Linked DNA regions of Anolis sagrei. The protein of the gene in region 1 purifies or fractionates together with the protein of each later gene. This does not show direct contact. Links are inferred from orthologs where the notes say so. Each region holds a gene or a part of one and is shown in the gene's direction. Other genes may lie near its edges.

The links.
Region 2: the proteins of GLS (region 1) and SIRT5 purify together in Homo sapiens (affinity purification with western blotting; 3 studies listed by BioGRID and IntAct, with this or other methods). This does not show direct contact. The link is inferred for Anolis sagrei from reciprocal best matches to the Homo sapiens genes GLS and SIRT5.

Annotation. Positions count from the first base shown.
Region 1 is NC_090021.1:182,826,579-182,833,904, reverse strand, and holds the start of GLS (glutaminase kidney isoform, mitochondrial), read left to right. Parts: upstream 1-4,263; 5' UTR 4,264-4,307; coding exon 4,308-4,612; intron 4,613-7,326. UniProt on the Homo sapiens protein: Catalyzes the first reaction in the primary pathway for the renal catabolism of glutamine. Plays a role in maintaining acid-base homeostasis. Regulates the levels of the neurotransmitter glutamate, the main excitatory neurotransmitter in the brain.
Region 2 is NC_090024.1:80,003,338-80,010,298, forward strand, and holds the start of SIRT5 (NAD-dependent protein deacylase sirtuin-5, mitochondrial), read left to right. Parts: upstream 1-3,948; 5' UTR 3,949-4,045; intron 4,046-6,961. UniProt on the Homo sapiens protein: NAD-dependent lysine demalonylase, desuccinylase and deglutarylase that specifically removes malonyl, succinyl and glutaryl groups on target proteins.

The DNA of each region.
Region 1 (7,326 bases):
ATTTGATTAAAGGATATGAACCTTAAACCTATGAAAGGATGAATTGTCAATAAAGAACCACTACATTATTTTACTACACTGTGATATTTTTCACTAATCTTGGCATTAAAGGAATTTCATCCCAAATATAAGCATATGAATTATTACTGTAAGTGCGTGGCTTTTAACATCTCAGTTGAGTATTTTCCTTTTGCCCAGAAGATGGCAGCACGTTTAGTATTTCCAGAAAGCAAACAGTTGCCATGGTAAATATAGCGTAATATTACAGCTGTTCCCTCCAGTGCTAACACATTTTAAAATAAATCAGGAACAGAAACTGCTGCATATGTAATACACGCTTAAATCAACACTTCCTGAAAATCCTTAAATCATTTTAACACCAAGTTGCTGGTTTTTGACATTTTTTCTTCCTATGAAGAAAAAAACATCTCCATTTTAATGGAAACCAATTTAATGTACCATCCTGCGTGCTCTGGCCAACAGGGCACAGAAATGTATTGCTAAAAGTCGGTTGTCTTTTGAAAGCATCCACTTTTGGCAGGCATCCTCCACTGCTTTCTTCTCTCTCGAGTCTAAATGTAACGGAAAGAAAATGAAAACCATATTTTATTTTTTCCCAATGGAGATGTCAATCCAGGGAGGTTTGCTTTCCCACTGCTCTTTAGCATCAGCAAGTCAACTAAGAAAATGAGACTTCCAGAAAGTGAGAGAAAAAGAAAGATGCAGCAGGAGGAAAAGAAGATGCAGAAAGAAGGAAAAGTCTAGGGAGGGGATGCTGGCAGATTGAAGCCCAGCTTGAGCCCTTTTTTTGTGTGTGAGGCCAGCAATGCCTGTGGATCTCATCTAATCCCATCGACAGCCAACTGAAGAATCCTATAGCTACGTGCCCTTTGGCACATCTGCCTACCCACACTATTTCTCCTGGCCATCTGTCCTACACTGGCCAGGGCTCCCTCCCTTCACATCTGGGCCTCCTTCAACTTCTCTTGTTTTCTTTTCGGGTGGAGATACTCTGAGTGAATTCATACAGGTTGAGTGTCTTGCATCTGAGATATTTGGGACCAGACATGTCTAGGATTTTTGGATTTTTTTCAATTTGTGTTCCAAGAGTATGCACATGAAGTCAGCCCTCCATGGATGCTGCATCCAAGGACTCCATCATCATCATCATCATCATCATCATCATCATCTTTATTTATACCCCGCCACCATCTCCCCAATGGGGACTTGGGGCGGCTTACATGAGGCCCAGCCCAAACAACAATTACAATAAAATAAAACACAAAAACACACAGCAATGCAATAAAATACAAAAAGATATGAATACAGTAAGCAATACAAAATATAAAATACAGTATCCACAATTACAATGACATTGAGCGTGCCACATGTACAGGAAAAACACTAAAAACTCAGGGTGAGATAAGGAGGAGCAGATTATTTATGAGGGAGAGCACATAAAAGAGTGGAGTTGTAAAAGGGGGCATTAATATAACCGGGGAATGAGTGCTCAGCTATCCAAGGCTTGAAAATAGTTCCTCCAAAAGCAAACTTTGATTTTGCCATTTGATATATGCAATTGCACATAATGACACTATGTAACACAATTTGAAAAAGATTCTGTTCCTAGTTTGAAAGTGTTATTTCTTGTTTGATTGTGAAGCACTTACTTTGAAAGTGTAGTTGTTGTACTCCAGAAACTTCGTTTTTGTGGCTGCCAAAAACTAGGTTGAATGGGTTGCCTCTCAACGAGATATTCATTGAAAAACTAGAGCAAAACGTCTGCAGGATGTTCTGCAAAAAAACAAAACAAAACAAAACAATTTTTTTTGCAGTTTAATAAACGCTTTCCATAATTTTATGATATAACCAATTAGGAAATGACATTGATAACCCAGAAACAAAAATTGTATTACATAGTGTTGTTATAAATACTAGGAAACAACCTGAATGCAAACAACTGCAACAACAGAAAGCTGGCATTAAAAAAAACCAAACCCTTTAATAACTCCAATTCTAATCCTGCTCTTCCTGAAAGTCCAGCATTGCATGTATATCTATGTCCTCCATCAACCAAATATGGCTCAAAAATATTTTCCCAAAACCAAGCAAGTAAACTCCAGAAAACAAACCTTTATTTGCCATTTTATCTAAAAGACATTTTACTATGCTGCTTTATATAAAGGGACTCAAGTATCCATGGATACTAAGTACATACTGTATCTCCTCAATTCGAAGACACACTCTCCCCCCCCTCCCCGCCATAAATATTTCTAAAAACTGGGTACACTTTAGAATCCTATGTGTTTTACGTGCATGCACATATATACTCTATACAAGTTTCAGCTTTGTTTCTCCTGTTGGTAGTAACGTCTCTTAGGCCCCTTCTACAGTGCCACATAACCCAGAATACCAAGGCAAAAACCCCCACAATATTTGCTTTGAACTGGGCTATCTGAGTTCACACTGTCATGTATTCCAGTTCAAAGCAAAAAAAAAAAAATGTGGTATTTTATTCAGCTCTGTGGAAGGGGCCTGAGGCAGCTTCTACACTGCCATATAATCCAGATTATCTGCTTTGAACTGGATTACATTATTATTATTATTATTATTATTATTATTATTATTAGAAACATTTATATTCTGCCCTTCTCATCCCAAAGGGGACTCACAACATATATACGGCAAGTATTCCATGCCGGAACATAAAATAAGTATAAATATACACAACCATTAAAATTAGTTATATCTACTTTAACATCAGTTGTTTAAAACCATCTCAAAACATCATACCGATTCATATAGACTCATATAGTCCAGTTCAAAGCAGATAATGTGACTGTACAAGGCATTTTAAACTTGTGTAGAAGGGGCAAGGTTCCTGAATGAAGTCTGTAAACAAACGTGTAGCAAATGTGAAGTTTCTTTTTTTTATAATTTATGCTGTATTTTATACTGTCTTGTTATATATGCCAATAAAAGCCTATTGGATTGGAGTGTAGAAGAATTAGAATTAGTCCTTAGAATCGAAGTATGGCATTTTTCTAGAGTGGGACATGAAGGCACAATTGGGGGTTATGAAAACTTTTTTGAAATGTAAACTGGCTTTATAGGAACGTGGAACAATAAAACCTCAAAAAGACTAGATGTACTCCATCACACAGCTTTTCCCTCACCACTTGCTTTGTTGTTTCTATGGCCACATCTACACTGCCATATAATGCAGTTCCAAATGCCATGTATGGTCAGTGCTGGCTCATATAATGCATGTAGGCTGCATTATATGAGCCTACAAACCCTTCCACGCAGCTGTATAAAATCCACACTGAACTGGATTATATGGCAGTTTGGACTCAGATAACCCAGTTCAAAGCAGATATTGTGGGATTTCTGCCTTGATATTCTGGGTTATATGGTTGCATGGAAAGGCCCTGAGTCCACATTGGCATATATTCCAGTTCAAAGCAGAAAATGTGGGATTTTATTCAGCTGTGTGGAAGGGCCCTCAGATCAAAGCACATATTCCAGGTTGTATGGCTGTGTGGGAGGGCCCTGAGTCTACACTGCCATTTAACCCAGTTCAGAGCAGATATTGTGGATAGTCTCCCTTGATATTTTGGGTTGTATGGCTGTGTGGAAGGGCCCTGAGTCTACACTGCCATTTAACCCAGTTCAAAGCAGATATTGTGGATTGTCTGCCTTGATATTTTGGGTTGTATGGCTGTGTGGAAGGGCCCTGAGTCTACACTGCCATTTAACCCAGTTCAGAGCAGATATTGTGGACATTTTGGGTTGTATGGCTGTGTGGAAGGGCCCTGAGTCTACACTGCCATTTAACCCAGTTCAGAGCAGATATTGTGGGATTGTCTGCCTTGATATTCTGGGTTGTATGGCTGTGTGGAAGGGCCCTGTGTCTACACTGCCATTTAATCCAGTTCAATGGGGATTTTAGACAGTTGTGTGGAAGGGGCCTGTGTGTGTGGCACATTTTTGTGGGAAGGCAGGGCCCAAAACCACAAGAATACTGGATGCAAACTTTTCTTCCCCTCAGCCCTGCCTGTGAGGCGCCCCTTCTTTCCCCTCCCTCAGCCTGGCTGGGCCCAGCTCCAAGTGCGCCACATCTTTCTCTCCCTGACAGGGCCAGGCTCTGGAGACGGGCGCGCGTGGAGACCAATCCGCTCCCAGACCGCCTGACGCTTTACCCAATGGCGCGGCTTGGGGGGCGGGGCCGGCGGGGCGCGCGAGCGACGCGCGGGCAGCCGCGGCCACTTCCCTCCGAGGCGGCGGCGGGAGAGGACCTCGGCGCGATGATGCGGCTCCGGAGCCCGGCGCTGCTGAGGGACCTGCTGCGGCTGAGCCAGGGCGGGCCGCCGGGGGTGGCGGTGACGGGCGGGGGCTGCTGCCGGAGGCCTCCGGAGCTGCGGTGGCTCCGCCCGGCGCCTTCCCTGCGCCTCGTGCCTCGCTCCATGTGCACCCGCTCGGAGGGGATCCTGGAGGAGCCCGGCAAAGGCCCGCCGCCTGCCTCCGCCTCCTCCTCCTCTTTGGAAACGCCCAGCAACAACGGCGGCCACAGCGCGGGCCCAGGCCAGGAAGCCGGTGGATTGGGGGACGAGTGAGTATTCAGGAGGGTGAGAAGGAAGGAAGGGAGGAGGGGGCTTTGGAGGGGAAGGATGCTCTGTCTGTTTGTCTGTCTTCCTTCCCTCCCTTGGCATGTGACAGGACGCCGCCGCCTTGTGCCTCTTGGACGGCAGCAATTGAAGTTTCCGCCTCCTCTCTCTCTCTCTCTCAGGCCAGCCATGTGGCCTTTTTGGAGACTGTAGAATTGGCCCACTCTTCCTCCTAACTGCCAATGGTACGCGGCCCTGGGAGTTGTAGACACCGCCAGCACTCTTCGGCAAGGAAAGGTGGAACTGCAACTCCCAGGATGCCAAAGCGTTGAGTCACAGGCAGTCCAAGTGGGGCCAGGCAACATCAGGGCTTTCCACAAAGCCACACAACCCAGAATATCAAGGAAGATCATCCCACAATATCTGCTTTGAATTGGGATATATGGCAGTGTTGACTCTAAGTCTTTCCACACTTACACACAACCCAGAATATCAAGAAAACCCCACAATATCTGCTTTGAACTGGGTTATAAGACAGTGTTGACTCTGAGCGCTTTCACACAACCCAGAATATCAAGAAAACCCCATAATATCTGCTTTGAACTGGGTTATATGGCAGTGCTGACTCTGAGCCCTTCCACACAACCCAGAATATCAAGAAAACCCCATAATATCTGCTTTGAACTGGGTTATATGGCAGTGCTGACTCTGGGCCCTTCCACACAACCCAGAATATCAAGAAAACCCCATAATATCTGCTTTGAACTGGGTTATATGGCAGTGCTGACTCTGAGCCCTTCCACACAACCCAGAATATCAAGAAAACCCCATAATATCTGCTTTGAACTGGGTTATATGGCAGTTCTGACTCTGAGCCCTTCCACACAACCCAGAATATCAAGAAAACCCCACAATATCTGCTTTGAACTGGGTTATGTGGCGGTGCTGACTCTGAGCCCTTCCACACAACCCAGAATATCAAGGCTGATCATCCTACAGTATCTGCTTTGAATTGGGTTATATGGCAGTGTTGACTCTGAGCCCTTCCACACAGCCACACAACCCAGAATATCAAGACAGGTCATCCACAATATCTGATTTGTACTGGGGCCTTCCACACAGTTGAGTAAAATCCCACATTATATGCTTTGAACTGGGTTATATGGTAGTGTAATAATAATGATGATGATGATAAGGCCACCTTACTGGGATCTGCACACATTATTCGCTGATACATCACACAGTGCTAGACACTTGGGAAGTGTCCGACATGTGATCCAATTCAACAGCCAGCAGAGCATCTGCTGTGGACTCATCTTGTTGGGTTTTTAATAATTATAATATAATATAATAATAATATAATATTTTTGTGTCTTGAGCAATTGCAAGTTGCTTCTGGTGTGAGAGAATTGGCCACTTGCAAGGACGTTGCCCAGGGGACGCCCTGACGTTTTACCATCCTGTGGGAGGCTTCTCTCATGTCCCCGCATGGGAAGTTGGGGCTGACAGACGGGAGCTCAGCCTGCTCTCTGGATTTGAATAATTGACTCTTCGGTCAGCAGTCCTGCCAGCACAAGGGTTTAACCCATAATAATAATTTATTTATAACCTGTCCTATCTCCCCAAGGGGACTCACAGTGGTTTCTGCACAAAAAAGTGGCAAGCATTCAATGCCATTGATAAAAACACAAACCAAACCAAAAGCACAACAACATCAATATAACTTACAATAAATAAATTAAAAAAATACAGAGTAATTAATAAAAGCATAAACAATTAATAAAAGCATAGTGTTGACTTTGGGCCTTTCCACACATAGTACTCAGAATATCAAGGCAGAAAAGCCCACCATAGCTGCTTTGAACTGGACTGTATGGCAGTATTATAATATATTAATAGTAATACTTTATTTATAACCTGCCCTATCTCCCCAAGGAGATTCAGGGAGGTTTTCACACAAAAAAGTGACAAACTTTTAATGCCATTAATGAAAACACACAAACTACTGTTTGTGCTGAAGACTCCCATGGTCCAGTTGTCCAAAGGGATGCTAGTTGTAAAAGCAGTGTATATATTATTTATTAGATTACAAGCAGTCCCTGAATTACAAACGACTTACACCTAACAACAGGAAGTGAGAGAAATCTTCCCCTCAGAAGGAAAACTCACTTCTGTAAGAGTTACTCTCATGGGGAAAAGATGTCTCCACCGAAGCTTTCTCACCAATCCTTGTTTCCACAACAAGCCTTTTTTTTTTTTTTTCAAAATCCAGGGACAGAAAGTGAGGTGAAATCTTCTGAATGGGCACAGACAGCAAAACAAACTCCACACACATGTTCCCTATACTATCCAAAGCTTAATATGTTTGGCTGGAGTTACACTTAAAATGTACCTGTTCCAATTCAACTTAAGAACAAACCTATTGAACTAATCTTGTTCATAACTTGGAGACTGCCTGTACTGGTGAAAAGAAACTCAGTAGCATTACTGATACTTAACAATTAGCTGCCATTAACTGTCAAGTATCACCACCACATGTCATTCTCGCCTGACTTGGGGTGCACGTTTTGCTCTAGAATGAATGCAGCTTGACACTGCTTTAACTGCCATGGCTCAATGCTAGGGAATCATGGGAGTTGTAGTTTGGTGAGGCACCAGCACACTGGTGGAGAAGAAGGCTGAAGACCTTGTACAACTGCATCATAATTCTACAGTGTAG
Region 2 (6,961 bases), on another chromosome or scaffold:
AATGCTGGTGGTCTTTGCTTCTTCCAGCACGCTGACATTTGACCACCTGTCTTCCCAAGAGATTTGCAGGATTTTTCAGAAACAACGCTGATGGAATCATTCCAGGAGTTGCATGTGACGTCTGTAGACAGTCCACATTTCACAGGCATACAGCAGGGTTGTGAGGACAATAGCTTTATAAACAAGCACCTAAGTATCCCTACGGATGTCCCAGTCCCCAAACACTCTCTGCTTCATTTGGAAAAATGCTGCACTCGCAGAGCTCAGGCGGTGTTGTATTTCAGTGTAAATGTTGACTTTTGTGGAGATGTGGCTGCCAAGGTAGCAGAAATGGTCAACATTTTCTAATGCTACACCATTAAGCTGTATTTCTGGCATTGGAGAAGGATTGGCCGGTGACTGCTGGAAGAGCACTTTGGTTTTCTCGATGTTCAATGACAGGCCGAGTTTCTCATATGCTTCTGTGAAAGTGTTTAGAGTGGCTTGTAGGCCTTTTTCTGAATGTGCACAGATGATGTCATTAGCATACTGGAGTTCTATAACATGTTGTTGTAACCTTAATTTTGGCTTTCAGCCTGCTGAAATTAAATAGCTTGCCATCTATCTGATAGATGATTTCCATTCCAGTGGGAAGCTTCCTGTCAACAAGATAAAGTATCTTAGCGATGAAGATGGAGAATAAAGTTGGGGCAATAACACATCCCTGTTTGACACCTGATTCCACCTTAAATGGGTCACTTTGGGAACCACTGCTGTCCAGGACAGTTGCCATCATGTCATCATGAAGGAGCCGCTGGATGTTCAGAAATTTGTTGGGGCACCTGACTTTTTGGAGCATGGTCCAGAGAGCGCTGTGGCCCAGTGGGTTTCTGTATCCATGGTTCAAAAGATTGCAGTTTCGTCTGTAAGAGCATCCTGGGCAGGCCAGCAGTGATCTGCAGCTCAGGAAAGGAAAGGTTTATTAAAGAGAAGGTTTTGTGTCAGTAAAGCGACACAAAGTTTCACTTTAGAGAGGAAAAGTTACAATCTAGGATACTTTTATTGGGGGGTTAGCTACAATGAAACAGGGTGAGCTCAGTTAGGTTTGTTGTTCATTCGTTCAGTCGTCTCCGACTCTTCATGACCTCATGGACCAGCCCACGCCAGAGCTCCCTGTCGGCCGTTACCACCCCCAGCTCCCTCAAGGTCAGTCCAGTCACTTCAAGGATGCCATCCATCCATCTTGCCCTTGGTCGGCCCCTCTTCCTTTTGCCTTCCACTTTCCCCAGCATAATTGTCTTCTCTAGGCTTTCCTGTCTCCTCATGATGTGGCCAAAGTACTTCAACTTTGTCTCTAGTATCTTTCCCTCCAGTGAGCAGTCGGGCTTTATTTCCTGGAGGATGGACTGATTGGATCTTCTCGCAGTCCAAGGCACTCTCAGCATTTTCCTCCAACACCACAGCTCAAAAGCATCGATCTTCCTTCGCTCAGCCTTCCCTAAGGTCCAGCTCTCACATCCGTAGGTGACTACAGGGAATACCATGGCTTTGACTAGGCGGATCTTTGTTGTCAGTCTGATGTCTCTACTCTTCACTATTTTATCGAGACTGGACATTGCTCTCCTCCCAAGAAGTAAGCGTCTTCTGATTTCCTGGCTACAGTCTGCATCTGCAGTAATCTTTGCACCTAGAAATACAAAGTCTGTCACGGCCTCCACGGTTTCTCCTTCTATTTTCCAGTTGTCAATCATTCTTGTTGCCATAATCTTGGTTTTTTTGACGTTTAGCTGCAACCCGGCTTTTGCGCTTTCTTCTTTCACCTTGATTAGAAGGCTCCTCAGCTCCTCCTCGCTTTCGGCCATCAGAGTGGTGTCATCTGCATATCTGAGGTTGTTAATGTTTCTTCCAGCAATTTTCACCCCAGCCTTGCATTCATCAAGCCCCGCACATCGCATGATGTGTTCTGCATACAAGTTAAAAAGGTTGGGTGAGAGGATGCAGCCTTGCCGTACGCCTTTCCCAATCTTGAACCAGTCTGTTGTTCCGTGGTCAGTTCTTACTGTTGCTACTTGGTCCTTGTACAGATTCCTCAGGAGAGAGACAAGGTGGCTTGGGATGCCCATCCCACTAAGAACTTGCCACAATTTATTATGATCCACACAGTCAAAGGCTTTAGAATAGTCAATGAAGCAGAAGTAGATGTTTTTCTGAAACTCCCTGCCTTTTTCCATTATCCAGCGGATATTGGCAATCTGGTCTCTCGTTCCTCTACCTTTTCTAAACCCAGCTTGGACATCTGGCAACTCTCGCTCCATGTATTGCTGGAGTCTTCCTTGCAGGATCTTGAGCATTACCTTACTAGCATGAGAAATAAGGGCCACTGTACGGAAGTTTGAGCAGTCTTTCGCATTTCCCTTTTTTGGTATGGGGATATAAGTTGATTTTTTCCAGTCTGATGGCCATTCTTGTGTTTTCCATATTTGCTGGCAAATGGCATGCATCACCTTGACAGCATCATCTTTTAAGATTTTAAACAGTTCAGCTGGGATCCCGTCGTCTCCTGCTGCCTTGTTGTTAGCAATGCTTCTTAAGGCCCATTCAACCTCACTCCTCAGGATGTCTGGTTCTAATTCATTCACCACACCGTCAAGACTATCCTCAATATTATTATCCTTCCTATACAGATCTTCTGTATAGTCTCGCCACCTTCTCTTGATCTCTTCAGCTTCTGTTAGGTCCCTGCCATCTTTGTTTCTTATCATACCAATTTTTGCCTGAAATTTACCTCCAATGTTTCTAATTTTCTGGAAGAGGTCTGCCACAACCGTCCCGTCTTGGGTGGCCCTTCACGGTTTCGCTCATGACATCATTGAGGTGCTCAAGCTCCAGCGCCCCGACAAGGCGGTGATCCTTTGCTGGAGTCAGTTAGGTTAGAAGAGGAAAATCTCTGTGTTAAGGCTGCTGGTAGAGCCACAGTCACTTTGTCTTTATCAAGTCCAGGTTCTGAGGAACTGCGGAACTCCCTGCTGTGACTCAGCTTGAAGTCAGGGACCTGTGTGCTCGTCCTCATTGTCAGTAGGTGACTTGTGGCATTTGGCAGCAATTCCTCTAGCGGATTTTGAGTTATGATGTCACTTATATATAGCATTTATAGCAAATAGACTAGCCGTCTCCTGCCACACGTTGCTGTGGCCCAGTCTTTTGATCTGAAAAATAAAGTAATGAGAAAGTGTTGGTTTCTAATATATGTGATTTCTTTATGTTTGTGGGTAAACAGTATTTCTTGCTGTTTCTTTGTCAGTGTTGATGTGGAGATTGTCTCGTTTGACTACTCTGGAACATGCAACATATAATTGTCCTTCTTCAGGGGTCCCTTTCAAATCTATGATACTATATCTGTGTATGTGTGAATCATATATATCTCAATATCACAACTACAACTCTCTATCTATCTATCTATCTATCTATCTATCTATCTATCTATCTATCTATCTATCTATCATCTATCTGTCTCTATGGCTGGATGGCTCTTTGTCAGGAGGACTTTGATTACGTTTGCTTGCCCTGATGAAGGGAGGCCTTAAGTATTTTCCGTTGGTCATGAGGGTTCTCTGTGGGAAGTTTTAGATAGATAGAGATTCAGTTACATAGATTTAGCTTTCTCTGCCAGACTTGAAAGTTGCTCTTCAGTAGCAGTTCCCTTGTCACTGAGATATTCCAGGCTAAAAGGGGTTTAGATCTTTGTAACAGAGGATTATGGATTTTGGGGGGAAGGAGATGCCCCCTCATGCCTTTCATTCTCCCGAATACTAATCCCCTCAGAATCAATGGGTTTGGGCCATTGTAGGCCGTGAGGAGGCGGTTGCTAGGCAACGGGGAGGGCGGGGCCGCGGGGGGAGAGGAGACGTGCCGCGCGCCACGCAGCGCCGCCTCTTCTTCCACTTCCGCCTCCTGAGCCTATCAGAGGCGGTTCCTGCAATGAAGTCCGCCCCTTCCTTTCCTTTCCCTTCCCTTCCCTTCCTCCTCCTGGCCTTGGAGTCTGCAGTTCGGCGGGAGGACTGACGAGGTGAGTCGCCCTCCATCTCCTCTACGTTGAGGCAGCCACTTTGGTCGGGAGTTAGGAAGAACGACGAGAGTTATCCTCATGTTGTTGTTTTATTTGTCTCTTTATTTCCCTCGGGTTGCAGCTACTACACTGTAGAGTTAAGGCAGTTCAGCACCACTTTTACCTGCCATGGCTCAGTGCTATAGACTCTTGGCAGCTGTGGTTTGACAAGGCGGAGAAGGCCGGAGGCAAAGCCACAACTCCTGTGAGGCCATAGTATGAGCCCTAGCCATTCAAGTGGTGTCAGACTGCATTAATTTTAGAGTGTAGCTGCACCAGAGGAAATGGTTTCCCTCCATTACTCAATAAACCAGGCATGGGCAAACTTCGGTCTTCCAGGTGAACATCGGATCTCTTACAAGATACTGATCCTGACATTTAGAGCTCAAAATGGCCAAGGACCTTTATATCTTAGGGACCGCCTCATTCCTTTTCCCCATCAGTGGTCACCTCGATCCACCCAGGAAAATCTCCTCTACATACCGGGTCCTAGGGAGGCACATTTGGGAGCTATAAGGCGTAGAGCTTTTTCGATCAATGCTCCAATTCTGTGGAACTCATTGCCTCCATATATTAGAGCAATGTCGGAGTTGCGACCTTTTGCAAAGGTGCTCAAGACTTGGCTGTTTGGCTGTGCATTTAAGTAACTGGATCAAATTTTGCCATAGTCACTGCTGAATGTTTTTATGTTGAATGTTTTTATATTGAATGTTTTATATTGTGTATTTTAAATTGTAAGTCGCTCGGAGCACCTTGGTGGAGAGCGACTAATTAAGAAATAAAGTGATGATGATGATGATGTTTTGGACTCCAACTCCCACAATTCGAATTGTGAGAGTTGGAGTCCAAAACACCTGGAAGGCCAAAGTTTGCCCATGCCTGCAACAAACCTTTCAATGCAATATTTATTTTTGTGTTTTGGGCCCAAAAAGTGGAAGTTATTTGGTTTGCTTCCTTCGGGAGGCCTTTCTGTCTGTTTTTTGGGACACAACAGTATTACCACACTATTATTTTATGTATTTATTTATTATTCAAACTCATATTCTGCCACTCCCCTGGGGCTCGGAGCGGCTTACAAGAACAGGCTAAAATCTAACACAATTTAAAAACAGCAATACCAAAGATCAAAGGCCTGTCGAAACAGATATGTCTTACATGCCCTGCGGAAAGCTGATAAGTCCCGCAAGGCACCGACTTCAGGTGGCAGAGTATTCCAGAGTGATGGTGCCACTGCTGTAAACGCTCTGCGTCTGGTTGCTGTTAGACGCAAGGTCTTGACATTGGGAATTTCAACAAATCTTGGTCCTCAGAACAGAGGGATCTCTGGGGTTAGTAGGGGGAGAGGCAGTCCTTCAGGTACAGCAGCCCCAGACCATGCAAGGCCTTAAAGGCGAGTACCATCACTTTGAAAGTGATCCAGTGTTCAATTGGTAACCAATGCAGCTGCAGTAAGATTGGTGTTATGTGGCATCTCATCGGAATTCTTGCACGAAGCCGAGCAGCTGAATTTTGTACCAACTTGGGCTTCCGGATCACCAACAGAGGAAGGCCACTGTAACTGTAACACAGGAAGGCCACTGTTATTCCACTGTAACTGCATGGAAACCTTATGTGGTTCATAATTTAGTGAGGCCTGGAAGCCGATTCTAAAAGCAGGCAGTCCCCGAGTTACAAACACCTGACTTACAAACAACTTTAGTTAAGAACGGGGTTGAGACAATGGGAAGGGAGAGAAATCTGCCCCCCAGAAGGGAAATTGGCTCTGGAAGGAATTATTATCATTTCGAAATTCAATGATCACACGGACAGAAAGCGAGGTGAAATCTTCTGAACAGGATCACAGACAGCAAAACAAACACCACAGGAGTGGTAACCCTTTCCTATGCTATCCAAATATAATTTTTGGTTGGAGTTACACTTTAAAAATATATATGTTTCAACTTTTATACAAATTCAACTTAAGAACAAACCTATAGTGCCTTTTTTGTAACTTGGGGACTGCCTGTATTCCAGGTTGCCGTGGCAGTTAAAATGAAAGAACATAACTAAAATAATGTGGTGTAAGATAGGGCCCTCTATCCCCAAAATGTATAGCATTTTTGCACCCTATATTGTTATAGCTATCTCATTTTGCTTTAAATGCCCATGGCAGCATGATATGGAATGTTGTAATTTGCAGTTTTGAAACTTCTCTGCTAAAAAACTTTTGGATCTCACTAAATTACAAATCCCAGAACTCAAAATGACAGTTAAAGTGAGATAATAGTGCTGGAGCAGTGTAATGTAATGGAGCTCTTGTCTTTGTAGTATCCCTCATTTTTAAAATGAGGGTGTGAACTTAATTTTAATTCCAGTCATTCATATGAATGGATTTGTTAGTTACCGTTCATCTAACTCATTGTTTGCATCTAAAATTGGATTTTGCCCAAAATGTGTGAATCTCCTTTTGTGCATGATTTGGTAGTTGTTCATAGGGTCAGTATAAGTTGAAGTTGACTTGAAAACAGTTAATAACAATCAGAGTACTACCAAGTCTTTTGCTTTGCATGTTACATCTCGCGTTTGAAGTTTTATAGTAAGCATAGTTCAACTGGTGTAGACAAATGTGCATCAAGGCCATTTTAACTTATGGAGATACAATTAAATCGCTCAGCAAATAATTTCATGGTCAGTTGGTGTTCAGTGCACTGTTTAATAAAAGAATCCCTTACACAATAGACATGTTTTTCCAGAATGGAGCACCTGACATCTGGGGTAGCAGGGAAGAAAGGATAGACGAGGACAATGGTGGTTGGTTGATTGATTGATTGATTGATTTCTGTGTTTGTGTGCCTTCAAGTCATCTGCCAGCTTAGGGCAAACCGATTCACACAGTTT